Linked DNA regions of Arabidopsis thaliana. The protein of the gene in region 2 purifies or fractionates together with the protein of the main gene of each other region. This does not show direct contact. Each region holds a gene or a part of one and is shown on either strand. Other genes may lie near its edges.

Evidence for each region. The genes of interacting proteins can lie anywhere in the genome.
Region 1: the proteins of CNI1 (region 2) and SYP122 purify together in Arabidopsis thaliana (affinity purification with western blotting, with the first as the bait; one study listed by BioGRID). This does not show direct contact.

The regions. Positions count from the first base shown.
Region 1 is NC_003074.8:19,422,834-19,430,399, forward strand, and holds SYP122 (syntaxin of plants 122), read right to left. Parts: upstream 4,398-7,566; 5' UTR 4,200-4,397; coding exon 3,629-4,199; intron 3,457-3,628; coding exon 3,002-3,456; 3' UTR 2,799-3,001; downstream 1-2,798. Other genes in the region: CP33 (chloroplast RNA-binding protein 33), read left to right, coding at 1-22; AT3G52390 (TatD related DNase), read right to left, coding at 272-341, 444-527, 617-833, 976-1,058, 1,152-1,262, 1,346-1,416, 1,528-1,608, 1,712-1,755 and 4 more; OEP7 (outer envelope membrane protein 7), read left to right, coding at 6,942-7,136. UniProt on the Arabidopsis thaliana protein: Vesicle trafficking protein that functions in the secretory pathway.
Region 2 is NC_003076.8:9,678,829-9,686,447, reverse strand, and holds CNI1 (carbon/nitrogen insensitive 1), read right to left. Parts: upstream 2,461-7,619; 5' UTR 2,330-2,460; coding exon 1,223-2,329; 3' UTR 706-1,222; downstream 1-705. Other genes in the region: AT5G27410 (D-aminoacid aminotransferase-like PLP-dependent enzymes superfamily protein), read right to left, coding at 3,980-4,129, 4,261-4,296, 4,377-4,457, 4,544-4,615, 4,717-4,800, 4,891-4,944, 5,054-5,139, 5,232-5,283 and 11 more. UniProt on the Arabidopsis thaliana protein: E3 ubiquitin-protein ligase that is required for the plant C/N response during seedling growth transition. May be involved in the early steps of the plant defense signaling pathway.

The DNA.
Region 1 (7,566 bases), on a different chromosome or scaffold from region 2:
GCTTTCGAATGTTAGTGCATGAAGCAGCAAAAGCACAATAGATTCCGGATAAGTTTCAGACTGATCTGCTCGAGGTGCCAAAAATGAAAATTTTGTTGTCTTTATAAATGTGTTGTTTTGTTCTAGTGAGGCTGAAGAAGAAGACAATATATGAGATAGAAAACAAGAGATTGTTTGTAATTTTTATTGAGAATGTTTTTAATCCATAAATGGTGTAATGTAACAACATATCTTGATTCCAGTAAACTGCAAATTTCTGTCACGATTAATGCTAGTCGGTCTCGTGGTGCCCGGAAAGCAGAGCATCTGCAGCAGAATCTAAGTCCTGAGGGAAGAAGACCCTGCAGAAATATTGACAAGCCATCAAGACAACGTTTTACGTTAGAACAGTTCTTCATATTTCTGTCATGAAATTATGTGAAACCGAAAAAGAGAAAACATGCCTGCAAGTGTTGTGGTACAAGGTTGAGCTAACTTGATTTAGATCGCCAAGTCCTTTGTAGCCAGCCACCACTTCAAGGACTTGCCTGGAGAAGAAAATGATTGCCTAAGAATTGTTCGAAGACTGTATATGCTTATGGATTTGACAAGATTTTAATCTAGAAGCTACACTCACCTGACTAAACAAGGCTCATTACGGCCTTTGACAAGGGACTCTTGATCATACTTCTCTTTTTTCTTGGAAGGCCAAGTCGACTTTACAAACTTGATTCCGGCGTGTGTGTTCTTGATATCACAATATGGAGAGTCGGTTTCGATCATCATTCTCTCTACTGGTATTCCTTTCATTACCTCAAGATTCTCAGCTGTTTTCAACGAGCACCCGTTCACACCTGCAGATAGAATACACATCAGCAAAACAAAAGACCAGAACAGTAATTCAAGATATTCTGACCAAATCTGATCCTACAAACGCCTAGGCGAGTTAAAGCCTACAGGCATAGTCTCTAATAGAAAAAAAGTGGAAGTCTTTACCAAGGTACATTTTATCGAAAGAGAGAAGCTTATCGCGGTCCGACGCACTACCAGTAAATGAATGAGCAACTCCTCCAGTGAACCTGAAAGTGAATCATGGGATTAAGATGACTAAAAAATCAATCCAGGAAGTTTATCTAAACACAACTCGAAAAATCATTAGCCTGCATGTTCACCTATTCTTGTTTCTCTCAACAATTTCACAGAAATCTTCAGCAGCTGCTCGCATGTGTAGGAACATTGGCAACTTTGTAGCATATGCTAGTTCAAATTGCTTCTCAAAATACCTTTCTCAACAAAGAAAACATAGGAAGATATTTCAAATAGAAGAAAACAATGTAAACATGAAACTTTTTATGATCAAACTTACTTCTTCTGGATATCAACTGAGCAAAATTGAAGCCTGTCATAATCCAATCCACATTCACCAATTGCTACCACCTAAATCGATCATAAAGTACAAGAGTGTTCAGTGAATGGTTTTGATTACGATCAACACGAAAGCGATACTAAAGCAATTCAAAGTATCTACTAGAGCAGAAGAAATAGCACCTTCCCTTTCTGCATTCCTTCTTTGGCTAATGAAAAAAGAGCCTGGTAATGCTTCTCCGGATCACCACTCTCTTCAAACTCCTAATGGATAAACAACAAAACATAACATTAAAGAACAATCCAAACAGAAGATTATAATTTAGATTTCAAGAAACTCTCGAGTATGTAAAGCAAAAAAACTGACATTGCATCTAGTTGGATGAACACCAACAGTGCAAAACAGCCTACCTGCAAAAAATGTACATCAATCAAAAACTTCTAAAAGACTAAAAACTTTCTGAAAAAAAGATCTATAAAACAAACAAACCATCAGTCTCTGCAATTGCAAGAGCTTCTCTTGATTCTTCCAATGACCCACCAGTTACCTATTCAGGAAAATTGGAATCTGAATTACTCAAAGTCTATCACTTGTAATCATTCAAACAAAAAGAATCAATAAGGAGTGACTCAACTATGATTCTATCGACTCCAGCAGACCAAGCCCGGTTCAAGACAGTGGCAATATCCGGAACATGACAGTTCTTGCCATGGTAAAGTCCTTTGAACATCCCATCTGTTTCAATTAGACTAAAGAATTAATATGGTCTGTGCAATAAATTGATCAGAGAAGGACATGTTCACAAAGTGTTTGTGGAAATGCCTCAACTAACCTGTGAAGTTAACGGCTATGTCTGATCTTACACAAACACATCAAAAGAAAAGCAAAAGAAACAACAGTTGAGTTACACAGAATCTTGTACATTAGAAAAAAGAGAATCAATCGAAGAAATTTATTTTGAGTGATTCCTAATTTTGACTTGCCTATCATCTTCAATGACGCCATTGCGAGAGAAAGTGAAACAATGGCACAACACAATGAAACTTTTTTTTTTCTTACGCTTTGTATGACTAATCGGCTTTTCCCACGGCCCAATATGGTTCGATAAATTATGGGAGTACGAAGATAAAAGTATTTATGAATAATTACTGTTAGACTCCCATAAGAATTTGGTATCAATGAAAGGCAACATTTCAGTGAAAAAAAAAAAAAGACTCCCATAAGAATAATTGTCTAAATTATTTATATAGAGAACAAATTAATCTAAGTTTCATAATTTAAAATAAATATAAATGTAAATAATACTATAGAGATAACTGTAAATAATCTATACTTAAGTATGATAATATTTGATATATATTTCAATTTTTTTAATTTCCATATTCTCTGGAAATTCATTTTGACCATCGATTTTGATAGATCTCTCCGAATAATAATATCATAGACGGTCAAATTAACTTAAGTCGATTGTAAAAAATAAGCAAATCGTTCCATAATAAAACAAAGAAATGTGGTGATCGCATTATATATACACAGAGTTTAACCAACCAAAACATTACAAAAACATTAAAGACAAAATACTGTAAAATAAAAAACAATCTTCAAAACATAGATATGCTCATGCATAGACAGAGGGAACCTCAAAAAAAAAATTATTTAGCGTAGTAGCCGCCGATTCACAGCCGGAGGTGGCGGTGGCTGAGCTTGAACCGGAGTAGCTTGACGAGGTGCACCTCCACCTCCCCCACCATTACTCTCCCAAGGCTTAACAGTAAACACCACAATTAAAACCACAATAATGAGCAATAGCAAAATGGCAAAGCAAGTCCACTTCCGTGTGTTCTTCTGATAAAACCGTGCCTTAACAAGCCGGTCCGCACCAGACCGAACAAGCGAGTTAGCTCGTTTGACGTTGCCTTCAATGTCATCAAGCTGTGCACCCTGATGCTCAACCAACACAGCCATATCAAGAAACACTTGGTGCAACTCATTCAAACTCTTCTCAATATCTTTCACTGCGTCGTGCCTCTCCTGTATCTCGTTAATAGTGTCCAAAATCCTACCACGACCTTGTTCTTGAATCGCTTTCTGCAAAAATGTTTCACTTTCACCTACAATATAATTCCAATTTATATCAATATCATGATTTAACCAAATTATAAACTAACAATTTCTTAAAAAGGTTTAACAACTTGCGCTATTTTCTTGCTCTTTAACGTTTAGAATTTGAATTTTGAAATTGACCAAAAAAATTGTTAAGAAAGAATTGGAAAAAATTATTACCTGTGGAGATGAGACGCTCGAGGGTAGCTTCGTCGGGATATTCGCCGGTGACGGTGAAGCACATTCTCCCAACCGTCTCTTTGTACTCATTCGTGATCGTTTCTCTCACTCGACTAAATTTTTCCATCTCATCCTTCAGCTTCTTCCTCAACCCGTTAACCACCGAAGTTCTTTGCCGGTCCGACGACGAACCCGGTCCACTTTCCGGTAAACTTCGGTTGACTTCATTAGCCCGATCTAAAGCCTCGAGGTTTCCTTTCAAGCGCCTCGCCGTCTTAAGCGCAGCAGTGACGTCAGCGTCCATCTTCTTCTTCAGCTCCTTCACCGCGTTAGCGTTATGAAGCGTCTTGCTCTGTTCGTTGCTCGATCGGAGGTTGTGACAGAGACGATCTAGCTCTTTAAGGTCTTCGTTTACAACCTCCACGTCGAGGAAGAACGTGTCTAGGTTGTTACCACCGTGGCAACTTCCGCCGGAGACTTTCGCTTTTGACATCTCGATGTTGTGTGAGTGCGGCGGCGATGAACCGTCCGCGACGGAGGTTTTAAACGAGCCGGAGAGAAGATCGTTCATGGCTTAAGAGATCTTCGATTTTGAAAGTTGAAAGGAATTGAGAAAAGTAAAATCTTTTGATCAAAATCTGTTTGTTACAATTGTATTTATATTGACGAGTCAAATATGGAGAAAAAGAAAAGGAAAGTTTTAAACATTAGAACTGAAAATAAAAAAGGAAAAGTCTGATTAAAACGCGGTTTTGAAATTAAAGGATGCTTCGTTTGTTGTCAATGAAGTAGTATCTACCTAACCGGGTTTTTTAGTGAGTGAACCGAAACACGTTTGTCAATAAATCCGTTTAACCAAAACAACTTTGTTGGGTTAACTAAACCACGTCAAGTACCAGATTTTATGTGTGCTGACTCGGTCAAAATTTCATGATCTAGTCTAACAATAAAATAGAATTTCTAGATGATTGTTTGAACCGGTCGGTTTGATGAAGTTAATTGAATTGCTGAAGGGAAACCAGACCAGAATTTCCAAGAAAGAGTGGATAAGGCTAGGATGAATGTGATGTATTGATATTTTAGGCAAAGTGGAAGATTTTAGAATTCATAGTCGCCGGAGACAATTAACACGAAGGTTTGAATTCGTCGCTGTCCATTTCGAATATTTTAATGCTAAGTTTTTTGTGGTGAAATTGATATATAATAATCTTTTGTCCAACCATTAGTTTTTTTTTGTTTCTTCTCCAATTTGTCTTTGAAATAATAGTTTTGGGATTGGACAAAATAAAAAGTAATAGGTAAAACTGAACCAAAACAAACCTGTTTATATCGAAATTGAATCAAATTTCTTTTATTGGGTCAACCACCTTGTATTATGCAAATTGAAACTCTAATGGTGACGTACGACAACACTAAGACCATGTTATCCGGCATGTCCTGGTCTAAAGTTTAATATTAAACCGAGTAGTTAATTTTAGAACTAAAATATGTTCAACTTGGTTATTATTAAGATAAAAAAATTTATTATATAAAATTTAGTTTTTAAAAATAGTAGAGGCTAGAGACACATATTTAGAGGTGTCAAAATGGGTAACCCAACTCAACCCAACTCATAATCAAATGAGTTTAGAGTTAAATGAGTTATGTGTTAACTCAACTCATTTTGTTAAATGGGTTGGGTCAACTCATAACTCATTTAATTTGATGGGTTGAGTTGTTAAATGGGTTAACCCATTTAATTAATAATTTACTTAATTACTATTATAAAATAATAATAAATAATTATCATTATTAATTCATTATCATCAAACTTAGGATATTTACGGATTCTACTTTTTATGGGTTTACGTTTTTTATGGGAAAATCTTGGGTTTACGTTTTTGGTGGGAAAATCACGGGTTTACGTTTTTGGTGGGAAAATCACGGGTTTACGTTTTTGGTGGGAAAATCACGGGTTTACGTTTTTGGTGGAAAAATTACGAGTTTACGTTTTTTGGCGAGAAAATTACGAGTTTACGTTTTTAGCGTCAAAATTACGAGTTTACGTTTTTGGCGGGAAAACCACGGGTTTATGTTTTTGGCGGAAAAATCTCGGGTTTACGTTTTTGGCGGGAAAATCACGGGTTTACGTTTTTGGTGGGAAAATCACGGGTTTACGTTTTTGGAAAAAAATTATGGGTTTACGTTTTTGGCGGAAAAATTACGGGTTTCCGTTTTTGGCGGGAAATTATGGATTTACGTTTTTGGCGGGAAAATCTCTGGTTTACGTTTTTGGCGGAAAAATCAGGGGTTTACGTTTTTGGCGGAAAAATCACGGGTTTACGTTTTTGGCGAGAAAATCACGGATTTACGTTTTTGGCGGGAAAATCACGGGTTTATGTTTTTTGGTGGAAAATTTACGAGTTTACTTTTTCTCAATTTCATCGCATGTATATTTAAGAAATTTGGAAAAATATTAATTTTATTAAATTGGTTTAGATGTGTTGGTTAGACTTAAATTGACATTGATTTAGAAATTTTAGTTGGTTTAATTCAATTTTACAAAACTTGATGGGTTAATTGGGTAAACCATTGAAACCATTAATCATTACAACCCAACTCATTTTACTCATCAAACCAATTGACTCATCAACTCATTTGACCCATCAACTCATTTGAGTCAAAATTTTCAACTCATTAGGGTTTATGGGTTGAGTTGAGTTGACCAATAAATTTTGACCCATTGACACCCCTACACATATCAAATAATTTTAACCTATCTAAATTTTTTTTATAAAAATTACTAACTAACATGTCACGAGTTCACGACACATATCAATAAAAATATTAGATGTCTTCATGTATTAAGTCTAAATTTGTTAATACATTTACTGAGAAAATGAAAAAGTTAATAACTCTATATGAAAAAGGAGGTTATATATAAGTAAAAAAGAAATTTGATAATAAATTAAGAAAAAAAAAAACACAATTTGTAACTATATTAGAAAAAAGGTAAAAGTTCCTTATCCTAACAAAAAAGAAATTGTTGATATATTGAACTATTTATCTAATTCTATTGATTGTTTTTTTCCATATATATATTCCCAAGAAAATAAAATAGGGATCCTTTCAATTATATTTACAATTATATAAAAAGTTTGTATTAATTAACCAATAGACGGATAAAAAGTTGGGCCATAGTTTAACAAACAAACTATCTTTATCCAATGAGAAGCCCAAACCGGCCCATTTTAAACATCCTAGTAAAACCCATCTCCCGATCTTAAACCATCGGTTGATACCACCGACACGCGAACAAGACGACGACGCAGCGATGGGAAAAACTTCGGGAGCGAAACAGGCGACTGTGGTGGTCGCAGCGATGGCGTTAGGATGGTTAGCCATAGAGATCGCTTTCAAGCCTTTCCTCGATAAATTCCGCTCCTCAATCGACAAATCTGACCCAACCAAAGACCCCGATGACTTCGACACCGCCGCTACTGCAACCACATCCAAAGAGGGTTTGTAAAATTAGGGTTTTATCAGATTAAAGAGATTTACTGATTTCAATCCATTTCATGTAACTGATGAATCCATGTGTTCTTAATCATAACAGTTTGAGCAATTTCTTTTGAGTCATGATCGTTTATTTGTCATCAATTTTTGGAAAAGTCTGCTATATTGAATCTGTTATTGTAGTTCAATCGCATAACAGAATCATTAATCTAATCAATATTCATACATGATTTGTTACACCGTTTTTCGTATTTTGTATAAAGTTTCGAGCTGTATTATTAAGGTGGAAGAAGAGATTAGGAATCCGATAAGTACTTAAATTGTTTTAAGTTATGATTCGATTATACGTATCTCTTGAAAAGAAGCATGTTAGAGCAAAATATCAAACTTGACAATTACAAGATTGCTTTATAGATAAAGCAGATTAGCTAAATAAGTATAGG
Region 2 (7,619 bases):
CCCAGCCCAAAAAACACAGTATAAATACACGATTAAAATAAATCCTAAATATATTTTTCTCTTTACTGTTCAGTGTGACAGAGATGCCGCCGACTCTCGCAAAAAAAAAGCAAAATGCAGAACTATAAATTTTTTCTGAGGTATGAGACGTTCTTGTATTCTCAATCTGATTACGGACGTAGATCGAATGTCACATAAAATAAACAAAAAACATAAAATTATTAAAAAATAGAGTAAATTAAATAAAAAGTACAAATTATTTTATTATTATTTAAACTAACTAACTAAAATATATGTAAACATTTTCCAACATCTCGTATGCAGTTATATAAAAACAAATAAACAATGGTACCATCATCATATTGTAGACAACAACGGCTATATTGTGTGTTTGGTAATTTTTACATTTTTATGTTTCTAGAATAAAATTTGAATGATGGCAACTTTCTACGTAACTATTCAAATTGTTGAACAAGTAATCTTCCAATCCGTATCGAAACGACTTAGTCGTGGTCTATCTGATGAAGTAACTATGTTTTATATTTTAATGTATATGATTTCATTTCCGTATTTCCAACTTCCAAGTATTAAAATAAGATCTTCTCGAACTATCTTTAGTCTCAGCTCTGAAAGTAAAGTACCTCGTGCTTCAATGTTCAAATGATATTACTTTTTTTGACGCTCAAATGATTAACTGTGGAAACTGTTATCTGAAATTTTAATTTGATACATTGTTCTTATCTACTTGATTCATATATTAGTACAAATTTTTGTTTTGGTCCGACAACAATACTACTTGAGAAAAAAAAAACGTTGTATTTCCCCAAAAAAAAAACAATCATTAATTGGTAACAAATTTGTTTGTTATATAGTTCCTCTCTTTTTTTAGTCGTTCATCGTATTCATCGAGAAATAAACACATGAATTCAGAACTAGATAATACATTCCATTACCGCTATAAAATAATGTTGTAGTCTCTATCTTCCAGTTCCATGTATTCTTTGGTCGACGAACAAGACTTTTTTTTTTTTTAAGAACAAGACCAATCTCCAGTTCGTTCTTTGTTTGACTTTTGAAGAGTATAAAATAAATTAAGTAAAACAATCTCCTTTTTCCGTTGGATTGTCGATTTAAATATCTTACAGAAAAAGACAAACAAAATTAAAGAATTACGTAAAATCTATTGCGTGTTTATGAACAATGCACAAAACATCACCGAACACTAAACCGGTAGCCTAAGGGAACCGCTAGTTGAACCAACTGTACCGATATGTTGAACTGACGATGTTCCTTCACCGTCCTTATTATTGACTTCAACTCTCGGCGAAGGAACCGGCGTCGTATTCCTCCAGAGAAACGATGGGTTTCTAAGAAAAGCCCACCGGTCTGCTCGTACCGAGTCACCGCTCGGACTTGTTACTGAATTTCCTCTAACACTACCGGTACCACCTAGCCTAATCGAACCATCATCCCGGTTCCTCCATAGAAACGACGGAGTTTTACGGAACAACCACCGGTCCGATTTAGCCCTCGACCGGTCAACCTGTTTACCACTCCTCGAGCTTCCTCCTCTCGGTAAAACAAAAACACTATTCGACCGGTTCAATTTCCAATTCGCCATTATCTTCTTCCTTAATTCTTCCGGTACTCTAAGCGTAAACCGGTCGGTACTCTCTCCCGGTAAAACCACCGAATGCCCTGTCGTATGCGACCTCGGGAATTTAACACGTGGAAGTTCCACCACCGGTACAGGAACCGCCGATTGCTGCTGCGCCTCAAGATCGGTTTCCACCACCACTTCCGGTTCAGGCGTCTGTTCAGCAAGATTAGTCCGACAAACCGGACAAGTCACGTGACCTTGAAGCCACGCGCCGATACAATGAGGATGAAACACGTGATCACATTTAGGCAACAGACGCAGCGTTTCATCGTCTTCAAACTCATTCAAACAAATCGCACACTCCAACGCTCCTTTACCAATCTTCTGTGTCTTCACTTCTGAGTAAACAAAAGTCGGAAACGTCTCGATCGTCTCCGCGTCTAACCCACGCGCAACCGTTGCGTTCGTCACTCTCCTCCTAGCTCCTCCTGCAGGAGTAACGCTACCGTCTACTGCGCCAGTACAGTGACGTATATAGACGGTGAAGAAGCCCATGAAGAAGAGAGCTGCGATGACAACTACAACGACAACAGCCATGGCTGGACTTAGACTGCCGCTGTAAGCATACGGGTCATGTCTCTGGTCCGGGGTTCCGGGTTGACCCGCCGACACGGATAATAGTAGAAACAAGACAAGAACTGGTAAAGAGATGTGTTTTATGGGATCCATTATTAGTTCTGGAGTCCCAAAAAGTTAGTTTTTTTTTTTGGTTTAATATTGTGAGGAATAAGGATCTGAAGTTTATAGGGAGGTTTTGAAAAGTTTGAAAAAGTCGTGGAGAAGAAGCGAGGAAGTTAGGGGATATGTCATAAGCAAATGTGTTACTTATTGAATGCCACGTGGACGGTCAGAAGTTTCCAATTGGAGATGGAAGTGAAAAGTCATACAAATCAAAATAGTTCGATGACTTCGAAGAAGTTGTTGAAATGGTCCTAAACTCTGTATATGTATGTATGAAAAGTATCTTTTATTTCATCTAAAATGGTCATTTTCATATCTCTTTTTTATAATTTACTATTTCACCGGCAAGTTTCATTCATTCGTTTATTACAGAAATGTTAATGTTTTGAGCTAGTTTACAATACATACTAAAATCTTATTCAAGATAAGAGGACCATGAATTTGGAACATGTTAATGATATGTGATCACACGAAGAAAAAATTACTTGAAAAAATTAACAAATTTATGTTTACTAGTCTTAGCCGTCATCATTTATAGACGACTACTTTGATATTCATATTCTTCTAGAAAGTCTTTAGCCATCATAGGTCTATCCTGATCACTAACTCAAATATGCTTCTTTTTTTTTTTAATTACAATTTCTGTTGACTTTGAATTGGCAAATCCAATCCGTTGGGAATAAAAATTGGCAATCTGCACAAAGACAAAATGATCTGCAATTTTTCAATTTTACCTTTTAACCAATAACAAATCTCGTGGAATCACACTATTTATTATATGTGTGGTCACTATAGTCCCAAAAGCAAACCAAATTCATTTGATCTTTGATTTAAATTAGCAAAAGTTATGTCTCCAACATGAACTAATTTTTTTTTCTCTCTATAAGTTACTTTTTTGTTATCACCTATTTTAGTCGATATAATATTTGAAAATGACATGGAAAGTGAAAAACTAGATCCATTAGGGAGTTTACTACTTAAACCAAGTGTCTTTACTTACTAATAATGTTATTTTCTTATGTTTTTAGATCAAAGCATATAGTAGTCTAGTATTTGGTATTTACACTGTTGTTATGTTATCAGGATTCAAACTCCTTTAATGCATATTTAAAAAATTCATTGTGGGAGGTTTAAATTTATGCTTCTCAACCCAAACTAAGGACTTTATAGTTTTTTATATATACTAGAACTCAAAGCAAAAATTGATGATATTATGGTTTTGTTTATTGATCAGCATTATCGTTATTGTGGAAAAAAAAATTGAAAAGTCAAACAAGAGAGCCTGACTTGACTTGGATTTGCGACCAACTGTGATTACATTGACCCACAGGCTACAACAGGTCAACAGCATAATATGAGAGAGTTTGAGAGCTAAAACAGCACGCACTTTCTATTCAAAAACGTAAAACACCACAGCTTTCCTCTGAAATACGTGCCGTTTTCCTCGTATGCAATGTTTTTTTCCTGCAATCACAAAACCTTTTCAGTACTTCAAAAATAAAAAACCAATGATGAAATTATGTTAACGTTGATTTCATTTTTCCAAAATAAGGTTCCTTTTGTTCAACGTTCTTGTTAGAGTTTACGAATCTAGATGAACACATTTAACAAGCCTGGTTTACCATTCGTGTTCTACGATCAAACACATGGTTCAAGGTTCTTGACTTCTTGGTAAGTAGGTATTGGGACACCTGAACCATCCGTCAGTTTCTTGTAAGCATTTTGAAGTCTTCTTGTTACCGGTCCTACTTTTCCTTCACCGATCACACGCCCATCAATTTTCACAACCTAAAACCAATAACCTCGATAAATAAGCGGCACAAAAACCAACCAGAAAGTGTTTCACAAGAAGGAAATCTTCACTCAAAACATTGAGATTTTCATATTCCTTGATTGTAAAATAGAGATTGAGTATGTACCGGGCTGAGTTCTCCCATAGTTCCTGTAGTCCATACCTAGAAAGTTTTGATATGGATTGATAACACTTAGTTAGTGATCATTTGAGATTCTAAGATTAAGGAAAAGATGAGGAAACCTCATCAGCTGTATGGAATTCCGACAAGCTGATTCTACGTTCTTCTAAGATAAAGTTCTCTTTCACCACCAGTTCCATCACCTGGACATGGATTAGAAAATAAGACTGGTCATGTTATAGTCCTGAAATATGTTATCAGAAAGAATATGAATCTTCTTCTCTCTTACAGTAGCTCGAGTAATGCCGGGGAGACAATAATCTGCGTGAGGAGTGAGTACTCGGTCTTTCTTCACCATGAACTGCACCAACAGAGTTCCTCCACCATGTTAGTTTCCAAATGCTACACAGAGATTCAGTACGGTTCTTTGAGAGTAAAAAATGTTCAATCCGAGGATCTTACAATGTTGGTTGCATTGGTTTCAGACACAAACCCATCCTTGTCAAGCATGATTGCATCATCGACGTTGGCATTGTTGCTTTCAATCTGTGTCATTACCAATAAAAACATCTCACAATGACGTCCCTAATAACACATGATCACGGATTCAACTCGATGACAGGCAAAGGATGGTACCTTTGCAAGTATATTATTGAGGAGGTTGTTGTGATGAATCTTGGAATCTAAATTCTGGAAAGAAAGTTTAGAAGAAGATTAAACAACAATGGACAAAAACACTTCTGAGCAAATGTGTTTCTCAAATAAATATAAATGCAAGACAATGAGAGCAATTTTATACGTTGGGTGAATTCCGGCGTGTAGTTGCAGTCACCAGCACAATTCCGCCATCATTGTCATATACCGGAGGCTTCCATTCAGCAAGCACTACACAATATTTTGAAAAACGATAATACTCAAAAAACCATATTCCACAGAGTTTAGTTGTATGCTTGCAAGAGAAAAATCTGAAACTTTACCGATCAAAGTACATCCATAACGGTTAAATGCAGGGCTCATTCCAGATGTGACCTTAAAAGAAACAAAATTGATAGCTGTTTAGGTTTAAAATGATTGAAATGGAAACAGAAAGAAGCATCTTCTTGCATATAATTTACTTTGAAGTTGGTCAAAGTGTGATTAATACCTTTTTGCCTCGAGTTAGAGACAATCTTATATGTGTATTGTCAAACATCCCATTGGTTATGAGAGTTCTGAAGATGGCTTCTTTTATCTGTGCATTTTCAGTTGTGATAGCTTCATTGAAAAGTCCCATATTCCAAACAATGACAATGATTTTTATCTTCATCATATACTTACCTCCTCGCGGGTTGGGACATTGTTGAAAGCCAGAGCCTTTGCGGAATCAGACAACCTATATGCAACACTTCAACATATTACTAAGAATGATTCGAAGAAGTACTTTCTCTTACTTGCTTCTTACCGGTCTAGATGTTCTTCAAGCTTAAATACTTTCCCTTTGTATATACGAAGACCTTCCCATACAGAGTCACCGCCTTGCACGACCGAGTCAAAAACAGAAACCTTAAGCAAGAATAAAGACAAATAACATCAGAACATAAGCATAAACAAGAAATAACAAACAGAGATCCATGTATGGCTCAAGCACCTTCGCCATCTCTCGTGGCACAATCTCATCACCAACCCAAGCAAGAAGTTTAGCATTTTCAGGAACTGGGAGACTGGGAGGAGGTAAGGTGCTGGACAAGAGCGATGACTTGTGCTTCATGTGGCACCTCAGAATGTTGTACAGCGGTAAACATTGCTCCAGCAAATCGTAATGCATTAAAGGGAAAGTCTGAAAGCAAAACAAAACACATTGTAGTTTGAATGATGTCTGAGTTTCAGGATCTTAAATTGCAGCGAAAACAGGTCTTGTACCTGAGGGTACTTCTGGGGCGACGAGAACCCTGTTGATTTATGAAGAGTCTCGTACCACCATGGAGCCCAAAGTCCATCTTCTGGTATAGGACCAGCCTCCCATCTTTAAGAGAACGCAAACAATAAAGATACAGTCATTGCTTTTGCCATTAACTGTCAAATCGAAGAGATCACTAGAGCATAGAGGGTCTACTTAAGCATAGAGGCTTGAAAGGGGATCTCTAAGTCATCACAAAGACTGCGTAGTGTAGCCTGAAAATAGAAGAATGGCACAGAACATAAGAATCTTCTTACATAAAAGAAATGGTTTCCTTGTGAAAATTTCATAATATAGCAATGAAACCTCGGGATCTCGCTGGAGCTCATCTGCATCGATGATTGCTGGTGGTGTTCCCATCTGACAGAGATCACTGTATATCGATACTAACTCTCCCAGTCCCAATTCGTGAAACGATGAAGGGTGTATCTTCTCAAAAGAAGGCTGCAAGAAAAGACAAAGAAACGAAAGCAAAGAGAGGAAACATCTCAAACCAGAAAGGATCAGACCCATAAACGTCAAGACAAAACCAACCCAGAAGAATCTCCACGAAAACATAACACCAGAAGTGAGTTTGAGAAGCTTACCAATATGTTGAGGGGATTGCGTATCAATATAAAGTGCTTCCCTTCACTCATTAGTTCACTTGGCAAACCAAGAAGTCGCTGTTTCGATATATGCTGTGCAGAGAAAGGCCAGAAACACAAATTTATCCCAAACACAGTGTGGTATAGAACAAAATTGAAGTCTCTATATCAGAAAGAGAAGTGAGTATAACCTTACAAAACCTATATTTCTTCTTTCCTGGACCATAAATGATATCCTTCACCACCTTTTCTCCATCACACTCCTATTAGAAAACGCGACGATTATACTATTTCTCCTCTATGCCTAAATTGACTAATGTGAATTAACTTACCATCTTAGAGAGAAGCTCATCTTTGTAAGGCCTATCAACACCCGTAGACTTGAGGAACGCAGCGTATAATGGCTCATCAAGCACTTCAATGTCATCTCTCTGAAGAAATTTAAACCAAAGCATCTTGCAAGTTACAACTCACACCATACATAGTTTCACAATAACTCAAAAATGTAAAAAACTTTTATTCGGAACTGTTTATCATTGAGGACACATAGATGTTTTGAAGCCAAGAAGAATATTTAAAACCAAAAATTTTGATCCTTTTTTCTTTCTTTCCTGGTATCAATACACAGAGAACTATTTCTCTACTGCTCAGAAGGTGGGATTCAATCACTCAAACAAAATTTAGATCATCAATAAATTTTCTATGATAAAACAGTACCTGGGCAAATCTGTTCCATTTCCAGGAAAAATCTCTGAGTAAGGTAAGAAAACAAAAAGAGTACCTGGGCAAAGGAGTACATGAGAGTGGTGCTGAGTGATCTTGGAGCAGACCATGCGTGTATC